Neurospora crassa OR74A: one gene and its partners. The protein of the gene in region 2 interacts with the protein of the main gene of each other region in a pairwise test. Links are inferred from orthologs where the notes say so. Each region holds a gene or a part of one and is shown on either strand. Other genes may lie near its edges.

Region 1 (5,221 bases), on a different chromosome or scaffold from region 2:
TCTGGAGGTGCCGCAGTACGTTTTCAATGCGTATTGCGCGGCTATCGCAAGAAGTAACGCGGCGTGGGGGAGAAAGATGGACGAGGTGTTTAAGCTGATCAAGGGGACTGACGCGAGCTTGGGGTATGGGGCTAGTATGATGACGTGAGTCTCCCATTTTTGTTTTTGTTGGAAAACTCCTGCAAGACGCTGTCGAAAATGCTGACAATAACTGAATCAAACAGGCTTGGACTAACCTATAACGCCCTTCCCGACCCGGTGTCCAAGGACGAGTTCGCGGCCTGGGCAAAGGAGGAGTACCCGGAGGAGTGGGCGAGATTGGAGAGTAAGGGGCAGAAAGAAACCGAATTTCAGGGACCTGTGTTCAACATTACCAGGCTGTTTGAGGCTTGACCTCAAACGGAGGTTCATATTACATACGATATCGACAGTAAGTAGAAAGAAAGGAAAAACAGGACTTGTACAGAGAATTTTATATTTTGAGTTAGAGAGAGGGAGGGGTACATCGTTGTATGATTGTTAGGTGGCTTTTTGCGCTTCTGAGCGGGTGGGCAGGAGGATGGTTCATCTTTGGGTTGTACATTACATTTAGCACCTTTAGACAAAAACTAGAAGGTGGATATTGGAACCGGTTTTGGTCTAGGTTTAGTCTTTTTGTTCGTTTCTCCGTCAGGGTCTCTGTAGATTATGCAGTAGCACAGACGAAGTGAGTGATCGTTCACACCATCTTTCATGCCCACTATCCGCATTCCTCCACAATCACCCTTTGATGACCGCCATCATCCAAGCCCAAACTTTGCAAAATACCATTTTGTGTGCCGTGTATACAGTAATAATACACCAACTCTACGATAACCGTAATAGAGTCCGCCGATCAACCATCCATTCAGCCCATACCGTGCTACTAGCCATGCTTGCTAGCCAGACGGCGACCTCACGCCCGTAACCGCCCAGTCATGCAAATTTCCCCCATAAATTCCCCCTTCATTCCGCCCAAGTCCAGACCTTCCAGACCATTCTAGTTCTCATCCTCTCCATCAAAGTTCTTGGTCTTGTTCGCCTTCTGGCCCTTGGGCACAACAAGCGGCAACAAGTGCCTGCCGTTGCTGTTCTTGAGGATCTCGGGGTGCTTGTGCACAGAGGGGTGAATACCGAGGCCGATGGCGCGCCGCACCATCTTGGCGATCTTGCGCTGGTTGACGGGTTTCAGGCCGGTTTCCTTGGAGTGCCTTATCCGCCCAAAGGGGGTGATGTAGTCGGAGATGAGGGAGAAGTTCTGTTGTCCCCAAGGAAATTAGCATTTCGCCTGAGGCCAGTTTTCGAGACAATGGAATTGGGAAGGGAAGAGGGGTGTGTGAAGGAGGAGGAACAAGAGAAAGGGAGAGGGGAGGGAGTGACAAGAAGAAAAAAGAAAAAAAAAAGAAAAAAGAAAACATACACGATAGTTATCCAACGGACTAAACCCAAGCTCATCCACCACATCCGCCGCCTCCACCCATCCCCCGTTCCTGCCCTTCATCTCGTACGGTGACAGGTCGCGCGGCGCGTACACGTCGCCGTTGTTCCACCGGCGCCTCATCATGCGCATGTAGTTGTTGGAGGTCACCTCGGACTGGAGCAGCTCCTGCACCTTCTGGCTGTTGCTGCCATAGCGCTGTCCTCCGTCGACGTCGCGTGCGTTGTTGTAGCTGTCTCTTCCTCCCCGGCTGCCGGCGCCGCTGTTTAGCAGGTTGAACATGTCCGACTTGTACTGGCTCGAGCCGGCGTTGTTGTTGTTGTTGCTCGACGGCGACGAGGTGTTGGTGTTGGTGCGCGGGGCATTTTGGAAGGAAGTGGTGGGGATGTCGCGGACTGTTTGGTGATTGAAGGTGTTGTTAGCTTATGTGTTATGCTTATAGAGTTGTGGAGGGCGGCATATCGGGTTTGCGATCGACGGAGCGAACATACTGGCAGCGGCCGGTGAGGTGGTCGAGAACTGGGCGGTCCTCTGGCCGGCAGCGCGGCACTGCCTGAGCGCAGAGGAGAGGAATTGACGAGAGGACGACATGGTGGTGGTGGTGGTGGTGGTCGTCGTCGTTGTTGTAATGGTTACAACAGCTTGTAACAGCTGGGCTTTGGCGATGTGCAAGTCCTCTCGGGGAAACCACACACACACACACAGACAAGAATGGAGCTCCCGTTTCGCGATCGGTCGGAGTCGGGAATCGGGGATCGGGGGTTCAGTCGCGACGGGGAGATGCGGCGGCGGCGGGCACGGTCGGTGCGGGCAATTGGAAATTGGAGCTCCGGGCCGGCAGCGACACTTTTTGGCGGATCAATCTCTTTTCGGCGCAGTGGCGGGGCCTGCCGCGGACCGGGGCGCTGTTGCGGGCTTGCGGCTGGCAGCTGGCAGGGCGGGAGCTGATTGCTGGAAAGCCTGAAGCGTCCCGGTTTATTTTATGGGGTAAAATGGAGCTCGCTGCGGGCTAAGAGTGCGCTAAGCAAGGGGCCCGGCAGGCGAGAAAGTGTGGGGCAAGAGTTTTCATTGCAGCAAAAGTTCAACGCCAGAACACCACCACCACTGCAGCTGCTGCTACTATCAGATTACGATACTGAACCATCCATCGCCTCCACACCCGTCTGATTGATACCGCATCTTTGATACCTTTCACAACGACACACTTCTCGACCCAACTAGAACAGCACACCATCAGTGACACAGACAACGAATTGCCAACATGGTCCGCAAGCTCAAGCACGCGGAACAGAAGCTTCTTCGGAAGACCGACTTCATCAACTACAAGTCGGACAACAAGCACAGAGATCACGATGTCGCCAGGTACGCTCATTCGCCTTAAGTGGTTTTTGTGTGAGAACATCTTGCTAACAGTCACACAGACGGTACATGATTCAGAAGCCCGAGGACTATGTATGTTAATCCAAGCAAGGATGAGATGAGGCTCACAGTGACTTTTCATAATGACCATGACAACTGACCCCCTTCTAGCACAAGTACAACAGGATGTGCGGTGTAAGTTTCATCAACTAACCTTACCTATATGAAACTGTTCATGACATACTGACATGATATGCCACAGTCCCTCCGCCAACTCGCCCATCGTCTCAGTTTGCTTCCTCCAGACAACGAGGTGAGGCGAAAGCACGAGGAGCTTTTGCTCGACAAGCTTTACGACATGGGAATTCTGTCGGTATGTCTTCCGGTATCGAAGTTCAACTCGAGCAGTTATTAACGTCCAATCACAGTCCAAGTCGAAGCTGTCGCAGGTGGAGCACCAGGTCACAGTCTCGGCCTTTGCCAGGAGGCGACTGCCCGTCGTCATGACCAGACTTCGTATGGCCGAGACCGTGCAAGCAGCGACCAAGATGATTGAGCAGGGCCATGTCCGTGTGGGTGTCGAAGAGGTCCGTGATCCTGCTTTCCTGGTGACGAGGAGTATGGAGGACTTCGTCACTTGGTCTGTCGGCAGCAAGATCAAGCAGAACATTATGAAGTACCGCGACAAGTTGGACGATTTCGAGCTTCTTTGAGTGGCGGAAGAGCATGGCTGCGGGCATATCAGGAAGTGGTAATGGTACGTTGGGAGCTAAGGCTGGAAAATGGATCACTGGGAAAGGACATACTACTGCGTTGTTTGCAAGTTGGCATTGGGAGGAGTGCTCATATGCGAGCAATATTCTGTGGCGTTTTAGGGTAAAGGCATTCAAAATATGTGAAAGGGATTTTAAGATACCACCATTCGGGTTTACAGGTCAATCACTCGGAGTTGCGGAAGTGTACCAGCTGCGGGCTCCCCACTCGAACTTGCAGTGTCTCACTGTGACCAAAGCCTGGTGAGTCTTCCTTCCGAACCACTACCGACTAATAGCCGACAATATCACTGGCATACTTCTGGGTTTTAGGGGTGCTCCTGCGTTCTTTCTGTTCCGTTCCTCGAAACTGGCAGCACACGAAATAAAACATCCGACGAGCCTCGCTCCTTCCGTAAAGTAGCTCATTTACAATGGCTCACTCTTTCATGAAAATCGTCCCTTTGGCCTGCTCCTCTTCTTGGCATTTCCTCTTTTTTCTCTGCATCTTCCGCTCCCACTCCCTAGCGAGACCTGACCTAACAAATGTCTCCGTATTCCTAACACCGCATCATTCAGTTCTTCACTTCATCCTTTATCCTCGGCTTTATCTCTATCCTATATGGTCCTGGTACTCCTGGTTGTCTTCTCTGCTGTTACCAAGGTCTCCTTATACTTCTCGTACCTCCTTACCTTGATCCTCATCTTGTCATTGAATCAAGGTTGGATTTCTTTCGACACCCTGAGACACCGGGCTCCATATCAGATCAGCATCGCTCTGTGGGAGTTCGTCCCCCGGAAGAGCCCTCCCGACACCAAACCGCCAGTCTCATCCTCTATGTTCTACAACCGCCATGCCTACTTTCCAGAAGAACCGCGTTCGAGATGCGAACCCATACTCTGGGTCCATCGATCCGCCACCATACCAGCGCGCCCTCTCTTCGGAGTTGTCTCTCCCTAGTTTCAGGGGTAACAATACCTATCAGGAAGCACTGAGCAACATCTTGCATTCTCGGTACTCTTCGACGGATCGTAACTCGATTCCCAAGTATGAACATCTTGATTCGGTTCCAAGTCCGAATATAACCATCAAGTCAGGCAACATGAGGTTTATGATTCCTCCTCGGAAACGTACGTCTACAAGTCATCTTTGTCCCAAAGCCCGCTAACTGTTCACCAAGCAGATCCTTTCACTCCCACGGACACTACGCCTACGAGCTCTAGAGTACCGCGCAACGCAAGCTCCCGAGTCACATTCGATTCTTCATCCCATGATCTCGATTCACCACTAGAATCAGGGCGTGATTACTTCTGTGGCGCAACGTATGAGGAAGAACCGTCCGGCCCTTCTTACAATCTCTACCCCCTCAAAGAATGGATAGAGACGAGCGGAAACCAGGACCCCTCAAGCAGTGACTTTGTCCACCATACATTGCCCGATAGTCAAGTTTCTCAGGAACTGTCAGTTACTTCGAAAGGCCGCCACCAGCATGGCCACAGCTTAGAACCAAAAGTTCGAACGGTTGCGGAGCTCGCGAAGTCTAGCGCATTCGGTTTCACCGGGCAGAAGGGGATACTGAAAGCTGTTCCATCGCCGAACTTGCCGCCCTTGTACCACCAAGAGGGAATGCTTGACTTGGCTACTTACATTGCC
Region 2 (6,280 bases):
GCGGAAGTTTTCGATGATTTGCGGGGAGAAGACGACGACCCAGCATGCTATTGATACGGAGCTGTTGAGAGGGTTTAGTAAGATGGAGAAGGTGAAGTTAATTGGGAGTGGAATGAGACCTACCCGAGGATCCCCGATATGGCCTCGACGTCGAGGTTGAGGAGTTCGGTCGGGGGCGCCATGGTGGCTGCTGTTGTCCGTAGGACCGCGTGTAATGCTGTCTCACTGTTTTGTGCAACCGTCTCTTGATAGGTACAGGTTGAGAATACTTGTGGGTTTAAGCGTGAGGAAGGATGCGATGGTTGAATGAAAGCGTTTTTGTTGATGCGCTTTACTCTCCCGCCTTATCGATTGAGTTGTTTGCCCCCAAGATTCGTTGGAACTTGGATGCCCAGTTCACCTCGCTCTTTGTTGTTGTGTCCTTGTTTTGTGGGTTTGGTAGACAGGAGATACGTCACTTCAATTGAGAGCCGCCCTGAGGATTCATGAGCGGTCGGTCAAAGAGTTACAGAGTACACACTGAAGTGAGGCTCAAGATAACGATGCAAAATGCAAAGTCAACAAAAAAGGCTGAACAAAGGAAAGAGTCGACCTGATTACAATCCGATTCGAGTCATACATGGTGAAAAGTCTGATGGTCGCATGACTAGTTTTAAATCCTTTGCCTCTTCATCCGCAAACCGGTTCCCCCAAGACCCAAGGTTGACCCGCCTGGCTGCAAGATACGTGTAATGCATCCTCGGCGGCGGCAAAAGAGCCCTTAAAAGCATGCACGTCTCAGGCGGCTCAAGCGTCCCGGGCTGTAGGTGGATCTTGTGGGGTACGTCAACCGCTAGGTGAAACCCTAGTACAACAACATCCAACAACAGCATGAGAACCCTTCGAGGGAAACCTGGGTTTCTGGATAGACCGAAAACAGACTGTTGGTTTGGAACTCTTCCTTTTGCCTGGTGGGTTTAAGAAGTCATGGTGGACTGGAAAAAAATAATGTGGCATGTCCTAATCATTGCTCTAACATTCCAGTGTTTCATCCCAAAAATTACCTCTACTTCTTGAACGATCCGTGTTGAAGATACCTGTACTGAAGATAACGAAATTGAAGTGTTCGGTTTAGGATGTTGTGTTTGTTCAGAAACTGCCCAATCTAATAATTTATCATGTGGTGGTGTTACATTTATCCAAAGTTGAGATTTGGGCATTTGCATTGATTCGTCTCAGAGCTCCTATTGGCTCCCTCGCAGGCCTTGTATCCTTTCCAAGTCAACATCGCCTTCGCTCTTTCGGAATCTGGCACACAAGAAATGCCAGGGAAGGGCACAGAAACGAAGAGGAACTAAAAATTGGGATGGAAAAGAAAAAGAAAAAAAATGAGAGGGATTCTTATATAGCCCTATTCTCAGACCCGGGGTTTACCATGAACCTGTACTAACACGATTGAACAGGGTGCGAGTACCGGCGACCTCCGGTGTTGAGAATACTGGACATTGTAGATATTGTAGATCTTGAAGAGGTATCAAGTGTGTTCAAGAAATACAATGCCATTGTGTGTGCAAGCCTGCTTTTTTCCATTTCCGTTGAGGCCATGATTATCAACAACCCAAAAATCTATACATGCATGATATACCCAGAGTACTACAAACCAGTCCAACAACCACGACAACCAGAGCCCTATCAAGAAAGCTTGATACTCTTGACCAAGCCGGTCTTGATACCCGACAGTTCTCCCTGGTACCCGCCCTTGCCCTCGCCGCCCTTGTACACGGCCTTGACGCTCTTGAGCTTCTTCTGCTTCTCCGCGTACTTCATCCTCTTCTTGACACGCGGGTTGCGGTTCTCCTTCTTGCGATGCGGCGTGAGGCCCTTGTTCTTCTGGATCTGGTAGTTGATTTGGCGCTTGCCGTCGGGGCCGATCGTCGTCTCCTCCACGACCCGGGCGCCCTTGGCAGCCGCCAAAGCCTCGTACTTGGCCGCCTTGTCCTCCTTCTTCTTGGCCGCGTTGTGCGCCACCATGTCGTAGTACTCGTCCTCCTCTCCGCGCACCTGCTTGGCAACGGCCTTGTCCTCGTCGTCGCTGTCGCCCTCGCCCAGCACGGCGCCGTGCTTGCTGTCTTTCTTGCCGCGCTTCTCGGCCTCGGCGTTGAGCCGTGCTTGCCTGTCTCTCTGCGCAAAAGTCAGTATATGACAACACGGCATGTTTTTTAGGCAATGGCCGACTTACAAATCTCTCACGGTAGGGAAGATCGTCATCACCACCGGCGTTGCGACCCGCATCCGCACGCTTGGCGGACTTGGACACAATCTGGGAGGTGTAGAATTTGAGACTCTTCTTGCGAGCAGCCTTCTCCTTGGCCACGTGAGCTTCAAGGATCTCCTCGTCACCAAAGTCGGAGCGCTCATCGTCATCGCGCTTGTCGACCTTGACAGACTTCTTGCTGGCCTTGGTTGCCGTCTTGGTGGTTTCAAGCAAACTGGAGAGATCGGCAAGAGACTGCTCGACAGCCCTGGCCTTCTTGGCCTTCTCGGCCTCCTTCTTCGCCTTGGCCTTGAGCTCAGCCTTGGATTCGCGCTTGCTCTTCTTGAGCATCTTCTTGAAGTCCTCCATATCGTCGTCAGACAGGTCATCATACTCGCCCTCATCTTCGGGTGGCGAAAGCATGCCGCTGGTCGAGGAGACGCTCTTGAGCGGCTTGAGTTCCTTGACCTTAAGCCAGGCCTCGCGACAGCTCATTAACGTGCCCATAACCTCGTGGTCCCTGAGTTCCGTAGGGCTGATCGTCTTGGACACACCTTGGCTGTCTCTTGCTGGCGAAGTCAGGATAGCGAAATAACTGGCGAGTGAAGCGATGTAACACCCAAGAGTCCAGAACTTGACCATCTCCAGAGACTTGGCAGGCTTGCCCTCGGCCTCTTTTTGAAGAGTTGTGAGAATCGGCTGCAGCTCCCTAAACTCCTGCGCCAGGTAGTCAAACTCGGGATATCGGCTCTGTAGAAGCTTGTATCTTTCTTCCGGCCCCATGTCCTCTGTGACTTCGATCTCGTTGAGTTTCTCGGTAATGACATCCTCCTCTCCCTCGGCCTCCTCCTTGGTTCCTAGCCATTCGCTCTCGTCAAACGCGAAATCGGCCTCGGACATTTTGGCCAACTTCTTGGCCTGGAGCCTCTTTGCCTCAGCCTCTTCCTCCAAGGCATCGGCCTCGGTCTCGATCTGGTCGGCATTGTAGTAGTCCTTTCTGGAGGAACCCCACCATCCTTCGTCACCTTCTTCCTCCTCTTCACCACCCATCTCTTCGTCGGAAAGTACTGTTGTCTTGACCTTCTTGCCCTTCGCGGGCGCGGCGTCTTCGTGTTCGCTCTCCTCATCGGATTCGTCCTCCTCGAAAACCTCCTCGTCAGAAGCCTCTAGGAACTCCTCCTCCTTGTCTTGGCGCCTGCGCTTGGATTGTCTGCCATCATCGCTGTCGTCAAAGTCGATGCGATCCTGGTTCTCCCAGTATTCGTCTTCGGAGTTGGCGACATCTTTGTAAGTCTTAACGGTAAGGCGGGCGTCCTTGGCATCGACCTCGCGAGGCTCGGCGGGACCGGTCGGTCTCGGGGCTTTTCTCTTCTTCGCCATTTTTGCGTTTGTGTCGCGGTTATCTATTCAGGCGTGTTGGATGGAGTTTGGCGCGACTGAGAAACGTTGACGTGAAGACGCTGCCAAAAGGCACTTGGAGATGCTCGTTGAATGGGCTGGTGGGTTCGTTCGCTAGGCGGGCAACAAATGTTGAAGCGGCAGAATTTTTTTGCTCTTGTCAATTTGCGATCCATTCTCAGCGGAACCTCGACCGCCCAGCTCCACTCTCATGCAGGCTGCCTAACCCCACAATTGAAGATGCTCCACAGTTACATCTGAAATGGTCAAAGCTTCCATCCCGTCCTCAGGGTCGACGGGAAGCTCCAAGATGCCCCCCAGGCCTGCCAGATTTACGTTGACATGACCTCAATGGGTTCAGTTATGACAGTAGAGAAAACCGCTTCTGAAGACTCGAAAACGCAAACTCCAGCAAATGGTTCCAGAAACCTCATTTTCCTACGGAGTGCGAAGAAATCGGTCGAATCATCACCCATCAACAAGTCACTTACAGACAGGGGTGTAAGCTCCAGTACGACGGGAACTGCTGACAGCATCCACTAAATTTACGCCGTAGAGGTACTCGTTCGTACTCTAGACGTATACAGAATAGCTTAGGCGCCGCCGCGTCAACAATTCCACTTTCCTCGAGCCCGATCTTCTTTCACGATCCAAGGAAGGATGAACCATTATCTCTTCTCAGAGTCGCTGATGGAACAATTGAAAACCCTCAGCACCTCCTGGTCTCTCCCAGTTGCAGCCGTCGTCGCGGCCATTGGCATATTTGCTACAATGGGTCTCTTCAGCTCCAAAAACCACATGCCAGTCGAGGGCCGGGTATGCGCCCCGAAGCCTCACCCGACCTGACCCGACCTCCAAACAACACTAACTCAACCCCTGTTACCAGACCGTCCTCCTAACCGGCGCCTCCGAAGGCATGGGCCGCTCAGCGGCCATCCAACTTTCGCAAAAGGGCGCCAATGTCATCCTCGTCTCGCGCAACGTCGGGCGCCTTGAAGAAGCCCTCGTCGACGTCCGCGCCGCCGCCAAGAACCCGTCCACACAACGCTTCACTTACATCTCAGCCGACGTTTCCGAGCACGACTACGCCGCCGCGGTCCTCGCCGAAGCTATCGCCTGGAATGGCGGGCGCTCCCCGGACATCGTCTGGTGCGTGGCCGGCATGTCGACGCCTCTGCTGTGGACCGACGATGGCAGCATGGCGGCCGCACGCCGCAACATGGACGTCAACTACTTTGGGTCGGCGGAGATGTCGCGGGCGATTTTGAGGGAGTGGCTGGCACCCGAAAACAGCACGGGACCCAACGGAGAGCCGAAGCACTTGGTATTTACCGCGTCAATGTTGGCGCTTTTTGCGATTTTGGGCTATGGCCCGTACACCCCAACCAAATGGGCGCTGAGAGGACTGGCGGATACCCTGGCGATGGAGGTCAATTACTACCCAGATAACCCGGTCAAGGTGCACATTGTGTATCCCGGCACGATTGTATCACCGGGCTACGAGAGGGAAAATCAGACGAAGCCGGACATCACGGTGGAGCTGGAAAAGGACGAGCCAGCGGAAAGCCCGGATACGGTAGCAAGGAGGGCGATTGCCGGGCTGGAGGCTGGCAAGTATTTTGTCGATGTGTCATTCCTGGGAAGGCTGATGCAGTGCGGGATCATGGGCGGGTCGCCGAGGAACAACTGGGTGCTGGACACGTTGATGGGGTGGCTCATACCGATCATCTACTTCTTCGTGTTGAGGGGGATGAACTCAACGATTGTGAAGTGGGCGAGGGAAAAGGGGCATCCTTTTACGCATCCCAAGAAGAAGTGATGCGATGGTTGGATCTGTTCTTTTGTATGGATGTGTATATGATATCTATGAACATAAAAATACTGTAATAACTTTGTTGTTGTAATAGACCGATATCAGCCTCAAGACAACCTGGACAAGTCCCCCGTCTCCTTTGTGAGACACTCACCTTGAAGTCAAAGCACTACGTCTTCACCGCGATCCGGATGCGTTTTGACACCAAGAATGAGCAATCCATGCTTAGTTGGGTGACAACGACTTTATACCCTGCTTGTGTTGTCCAGCAATAAGTGTATATTCCGACGTCAAGATGTTTGGAGCACCACTTGGTGAGTGCGGAGACAGAAAGATGACTACCTGCTAAACCCATGGTATGCCCCTGTTGCAGACTGTATGAATCTTCTGGCAGAACCTGCTCTTACTGTATACTAGACTTACGGATTGTATCGATGGAATGTGTGAGCTTCGGTTCAGAGCTTTTGACCTTCGCCAGTATACATGTGGATAGGTATCAGTCGGTGAACTACATTAGCTCGGAACTCCATCCATTCCCCACGTCCCGTTTCTACGATTATCGGGCCAGCACCGTGAACAGACATGCATCATATCAATACTATAGTCATCATTCCCACCCCATCTGGACTCTCTAATACGCTCCATTTCTAGACTTTGGGGGAAACATTGATATTTCCTACACCGGGCGATTTACTCCACTTTTTTTGATGGCACTTCCGTTGACCATCTACGAGGATCGCGGCGGGAGGGGCAGAAGGCACGGATAACATTTCAGGATTGGACCATTTTCTTCGTTGTCAGTGTTTTGTGGCTTGTGCGCCCTGACATAGCAGGTG
Region 3 (5,441 bases), on a different chromosome or scaffold from region 2:
ATGGCCGGCGCTATCGGCGAAGGTTTCAGCCGAGCCATCGGCGGCGGCAGCTCCGGGTCCGTCATGCTCAGCCCGGGCAACGTCGAGCGGCTGGTCTCCCGTCTTTCTCGGATGCGTGGCGCGGCCCTCAAGCTGGGGCAGATGATGTCGATCCAAGACTCCAAGATGCTTCCACCGACAATCCAAGAGGTCTTCCAGCGCGTCCAGGATCGAGCCGACTACATGCCGGCCTGGCAGCGCGACCGGGTTTTGGTCTCCAACCTGGGCGCCGACTGGCGCTCCCTGTTCGACGAGTTCGAAGAGAAACCCATCGCGGCCGCCTCCATTGGCCAAGTCCACCGCGCCACGCTCAAGTCCAATGGCGCCCGCGTCGCCGTCAAGATCCAATTCCCCGGCGTTGCTGACTCCATTAACTCGGACCTCGACAACCTCGCCATCCTGCTGGCCGCCACCAAGCTTCTCCCCAAAGGCCTGTATCTGAACAAGACCATCGACAATGCGCGCACCGAGCTGGCGTGGGAATGTGATTACTTGAGGGAAGCCGAGTGCGGCGCCCGTTACAGGGAACTCCTTGCCGCGGATGGGCAAGAAGACGCCGTCTTCGCCGTCCCGCACATCTACGCGGAAGCCTCAGGCAAGCAAGTCCTTACCATGGAGTGGATGGATGGCGTGGGCGTCACGCGCGTCAAGGACTTCTCGCAGGAACAAAAGGACTGGATCGGCACCCAGATCTTGCGCCTCTGTCTGCGCGAGATCACCGAGTTCAAGTTCATGCAGACGGATCCCAACTGGACCAACTTCTTGTACAACCCCGAAAAACAACGGCTGGAGCTGCTCGACTTTGGCGCTAGCCGAGAATACCCGGAGGAGTTCATCTCGCTGTATATCCGCCTGCTCGAAGCCGCGTCGCGGGGTGATCGCCCCGCGGTCAAGTCCCTCTCTGAAGAGCTGGGGTATCTGACGGGTCATGAGAGTAGAGCGATGCTGGAGGCGCATATCACTAGTGTCGTTACACTGGCTGAGCCGTTCCTGCAGAGTGCGCCGGAAGTGTATGATTTCAGAGATCAGACGATTACGGAGAGGGTCAAAGCGCAGATCCCCGTCATGATCCATGAGAGGCTGGCACCGCCGCCGGAAGAGACGTATAGCTTGCACAGGAAGCTCAGTGGGGCGTTTTTGTTGTGCGCGAGGCTGGGGAGTAGGGTCAGGTGTAGGGAGATGTTTGAGAAGGCTTTGGAGAAGACGGAGTATTTCGGGAAGAAGTGAGTGAGGTGTATGTATGATACTACTGTGGCTGGAAGTCGGGCTGGTAGGGATAGATTTGGAGGGTTAGACCAGAGTTTCTGCAAGTGATTCTTTCTTCTTTCCTGTACATCTCGGCCGAATGTTCTCTGTTATAGGGAATCTACCGAGTAAGATCACCTCAAAAAGCATAGCCAGCACTTGTGGGGTGATTTGTAACAATATTTGTGAATATTACCATTCCAACCTTTTGCGCGCCTGCTTCATCTATCAGTCCTTGATACCTAGGTATGTCTCCCATGCAGCCATTTATAGTATACCCCCAGTGTTTCAAGCAAGCAATAATCCACTCTTCCCCTTCGTTTACCTATCCTCAGCCGTCCGTCTCGCCAACGGCAACGCCTTCTTCTCCTTGCCTGCAATCTTCTTCCTCTTGCGCTCAATCGCCTTATCGACCTGGCTCTTCTTCATGCTCGCGAACTGCTCCACAAGCAACTGCTTCTTCTGCTCTGACTTCTTCAAGTAGAAGGGCGTCTTGCCCTGCTTGATGAGCTCCTTCTCCTTCTTCTTGTGCTCCGACAACAGCTCGCGCTCCTTATCCTTGCGGGCGCGCGCCTTCTTCTTGCTCTCCATCGACAGGAGCGCCCGCTGCAGCTCCTCCTTTTCGTTGGCATCTTTCGTCTTCTTGATGGCCATCCGCAGCTGCTTCATCTCGTCCTCCTGGTAGTCGTCCAGGAACGAGTAGGCTTTGCGCGCCTTGATCTCATCTACTACGCTTTTACCGGAGCTGCCGCCGATGCCGGGGGGCGCGAACCGTGGGTCCCGGGATTTGGGCTTGGCGGGCTCGTTGGCGAGAAAGTCGCGACGCCGAGAAACGGGTTTTTTGGAGGTCGTCTCGACGGGCGCGTGCTTGTTGGTGCGGTGGTGCTTCTCGACCTTGGCCTTCATGCCCTTTTCGATCTCGGTCTTCCAGTTGGGCTCTTCTTTCTCTTCATCGTCATCGGAGCCGTCCTCATCGCCGCCCTTCTTCTTCTTCTTTTTCTTCAGTGCGCCGAGAGAGGCTTGGGCTCGGGCGAGAGCACCGAATGAGAGCTGCGAGGCGTCGATGCCGGCGCCGCCGTGCTCTGAGGGTGCGTCGGAGTCCTGTTATTGAGCATTAGTCGTAGTTTTTTTTTTTTTTTTTTTTTTTTTTTTTTTTTTTTTTTTTTTTTTTTTTTAAAAAAAAAAATGATAGTATTGTTTTTTTGTGCCCATTTGAAGAAAACAGAAAAAAAACAAAAACCCTTACATCGTCACTGCCTGGTTCACTGCCCTCCTCAATCTCTTCATCCTCCTCCTCCTCCTCGGTGTCGCTGCCTGTGTGAAAGCCGCCGCCTTCTTCCTCACTAGGGGCCTCATCTGAGCTCCCCTCCACATCCGAGTCGGGCTCGGCTTCAAATCTCGGACGAACACGTCTCTGGAGCTTAGCACCCAGCGTAGGGGCAGCTTTTCGCTTGACCGCAGGCATTTCTTACTCTTTTCGGGTCCACAATTTCGTCCTTTATAAGTTCTATCCTGTCTCTGGTGGCAGTGACAACTTTGTTGTGCGTTTGATTTGAGATGGTTACCCTTTTACGAGGGAACAAACAGCAGCGGGTGAAGAAAAGGTATGAGTGAAGTCACATGGATATGTGTATGTAGTTGGTTGTCGAATTGGCGTTGAAAGTTCTGCCGCCTGCGAGTGAAGCAACATTGCCCCGCTTTGACGGGTTTTCTCAATGTATGATTGGCTAGATTCCTAACCGATATTTTGCCCGTCCCCTGAAAAGCACAGAGGCCGCAAACAGGCGTACAACATCACTTCTTGATAAAAGTGTGACATCTCATTCACTGAGTTGTTTGGAGGTCCAGGAACACGGCTTATTGGATATTTATTACCGCACATCTTCCTCAACAGCTGTGGCCTACAGCTGAATGCGAGCCGGGCCGACTTCAAGCACCTTGGAGCCAAGTGGTCCGTAGCGGCACCTTTTTGCACCGGCCTCGTCTTTTTATCTCAAGGATGATGATGAACAGATTACGAATATTCAACACACCAGGTCGCTTTCGTCTCACAAAGGACTGGCAACTATTGCCAACTACACCATTATTGCCTTACTTGCCTCGCAATAAATATTTCAACACATACAAACCGTTCTTGGCCAACCAACCTTCGACGAGGTGCATTCATACGGCTGAAGACAGTTTTGAGGCGGATAAACTGTGCTCTGTGTTTGGCGTACAACACCTGGCTAAGAAGGGAACCGCACAATCAAACGAGACATTACCAGGCCCCTCAGAACCGTCTCACCAGGCGGCTGGAGAACAGGGCAGAGTGGCTTCCGCTGGAAAGGGTCAAAGGGGCAGCAAAAACGGAAACGAAACGCAGGAGCAAAGAAGGTGTCAAAGGCTGGGTCAGCAGCAGGACAAACTACAACGACAACAACAACAGCCTCAAGACGGTCTTAAGGCACAAATACAGCAAACAGTGGACCAAATGGATCACAATCACTTCGGCTACCAGCCGGGTTACCCGCCAATATGGCAGGGGGAGTTTGTTCAGCAGCAGCAACAACAACAACAATACCAATACCAAAACCAACAGCACTATCCTCGGCAAGAGCAATATGGCATGGGATATGCGCCGCCCCCAAATATGGGCTATGGCTTCATCCCTCCTACTCATCTCAACACCTTCGCCCCAGGAACGACCATACCGCATTGGCAACAACCTCTGCCGCCGTTCTACTCGGGAGCAGGAACACGAAGTTACCATACCAACACCAACAACAACAACAACAACAACAACAACAGGCCTCAGGTCCCTCAGCCCGCTGGTTGCTATCGCTCCAGGAGTCCCGGACCCTACTCACGAGTAAGACAATACAGCAATAGCAACAACAACAACACCTACACCAACAACACACACCCAGACTTTTATCGCCCCAGGAGTCCTGGACCTTACTCACGAGGAGGAAGACGAGGACAGTACAACAATAACAACAACAATAACATCAACAACCACCATAGCCAGCAACAGCAAATACCGCCCACCTCCAGGCCCTCTCATCCGCCCAAGCTCAACAAGAAGGCCAAAGCCCGCGAAGCAGCAGCCCGCGAAGCCTTAGCCCAAGCCCAAGCCCAACGAACCACCACCACCATGATGATGCCCGCATCATCCTCTTTCATCCCGCCGCAAGGAGGAGGCACCCCGCGAGAAGGCAGGGACCCCATCGTGCCTCCCTCGCGCGCCTCCGGCGGCATCCCCGAGCCCAGCCACGCCTACAAGATCCGGGCCTCCTTCCTCGCTCGAGAGGTCCCCCAGCCGCGTCCGATTCTGGTGGTGATCGACCTGAACGGCACGCTCTTGCACCGGCCCAGCCGCAAGCGGCCCTCCAAATTCGTCGAGCGGCCCTTTGCCAGGGACTTTTTGAAATACTGCATCGACACGTTCAAGGTGGTGATTTGGTCCAGCGCCCGGCCGCAGAACGTGGAGATGATGTGCCAGCAGCTGTTGACGGAGGAGCAGCTGGGCAAAGTGGTGGCGATCTGGGCACGGGACAAGTTCGGGCTGACGCAGGCGGACTTTAACACGCGGGTGCAGTGCTACAAGCGGTTGACGATGCTGTGGGAGGACCCGACGGTGGCGGCGTCAAACCCGGAGGGAGAGCCGTGGAATCAGGGCAATACGGTGCTGATTGACGACAGTGCGGAGAAGGCGAGGAGCGAGCCGTATAACTGCATTACGCTGCCGGAATTTGTGGGGGATTTGAACGAGAAGCCGGAGGTGCTGCCGATGGTGCGTGAATATCTTAACATTCTAGCCCACCAGGCGGATATCAGCACTTATATCAGGGTGAAGCCATTCAACATCAGCGAGGATAGCAGCGGGGCCGTAACCGGACACGAGGGTGTTGCTCTCGCTTCTACTCCAGCTGCGGCTCAATAGGAATGTTCAGGATAGAGCATAGGAAATAATGAGATGGGAGTTCTCGGTTGGACATGATCATACCCGGTAGACTAGACTGGTTACAGCGAATACGACTTCGAAATGAGGATAACTTTCATGGAACATGCATGGTTCACCACACTTTATTATGCATTTACGGGAATGGAATAGCAATTGGCCATGAAAACAACTTTTATCGGAGATTTCGACAGGTTACTAGCATCTACTAAAG

Evidence for each region.
Region 1: the proteins of NCU00301 (region 2) and NCU01008 interact in binary tests that used the Saccharomyces cerevisiae proteins (3 or more experiments, as listed by UniProt). The link is inferred for Neurospora crassa OR74A from reciprocal best matches to the Saccharomyces cerevisiae genes SAS10 and IMP3.
Region 3: the proteins of NCU00301 (region 2) and NCU03824 interact in binary tests that used the Saccharomyces cerevisiae proteins (3 or more experiments, as listed by UniProt). The link is inferred for Neurospora crassa OR74A from reciprocal best matches to the Saccharomyces cerevisiae genes SAS10 and RRP36.

Annotation. Positions count from the first base shown.
Region 1 is NC_026505.1:2,663,244-2,668,464, forward strand, and holds NCU01008 (U3 small nucleolar ribonucleoprotein IMP3), read left to right. Parts: upstream 1-2,518; 5' UTR 2,519-2,717; coding exon 2,718-2,818; intron 2,819-2,877; coding exon 2,878-2,908; intron 2,909-2,986; coding exon 2,987-3,010; intron 3,011-3,077; coding exon 3,078-3,188; intron 3,189-3,243; coding exon 3,244-3,528; 3' UTR 3,529-3,894; downstream 3,895-5,221. Other genes in the region: complex I intermediate-associated protein CIA84, read left to right, coding at 1-144, 225-393; NCU01007 (mito ribosomal protein S18), read right to left, coding at 1,019-1,276, 1,439-1,851, 1,948-2,047; NCU01009 (hypothetical protein), read left to right, coding at 4,422-4,698, 4,752-5,221. UniProt on the Saccharomyces cerevisiae protein: Required for the early cleavages at sites A0, A1 and A2 during 18S ribosomal pre-RNA processing.
Region 2 is NC_026503.1:3,361,694-3,367,973, forward strand, and holds NCU00301 (Sas10/Utp3 family protein), read right to left. Parts: upstream 3,763-6,280; 5' UTR 3,614-3,762; coding exon 2,219-3,613; intron 2,161-2,218; coding exon 1,672-2,160; 3' UTR 1,468-1,671; downstream 1-1,467. Other genes in the region: gpr-5 (PQ loop repeat protein), read right to left, coding at 1-61, 124-182; NCU00302 (3-ketodihydrosphingosine reductase tsc-10), read left to right, coding at 4,292-4,447, 4,518-5,450. UniProt on the Saccharomyces cerevisiae protein: Primarily required at the G2/M phase. Essential for viability: involved in nucleolar processing of pre-18S ribosomal RNA as part of the ribosomal small subunit (SSU) processome.
Region 3 is NC_026505.1:2,530,091-2,535,531, forward strand, and holds NCU03824 (hypothetical protein), read right to left. Parts: upstream 2,925-5,441; 5' UTR 2,750-2,924; coding exon 2,531-2,749; intron 2,386-2,530; coding exon 1,606-2,385; 3' UTR 1,328-1,605; downstream 1-1,327. Other genes in the region: stk-25 (ABC1 protein), read left to right, coding at 1-1,266; NCU03825 (hypothetical protein), read left to right, coding at 3,284-5,209.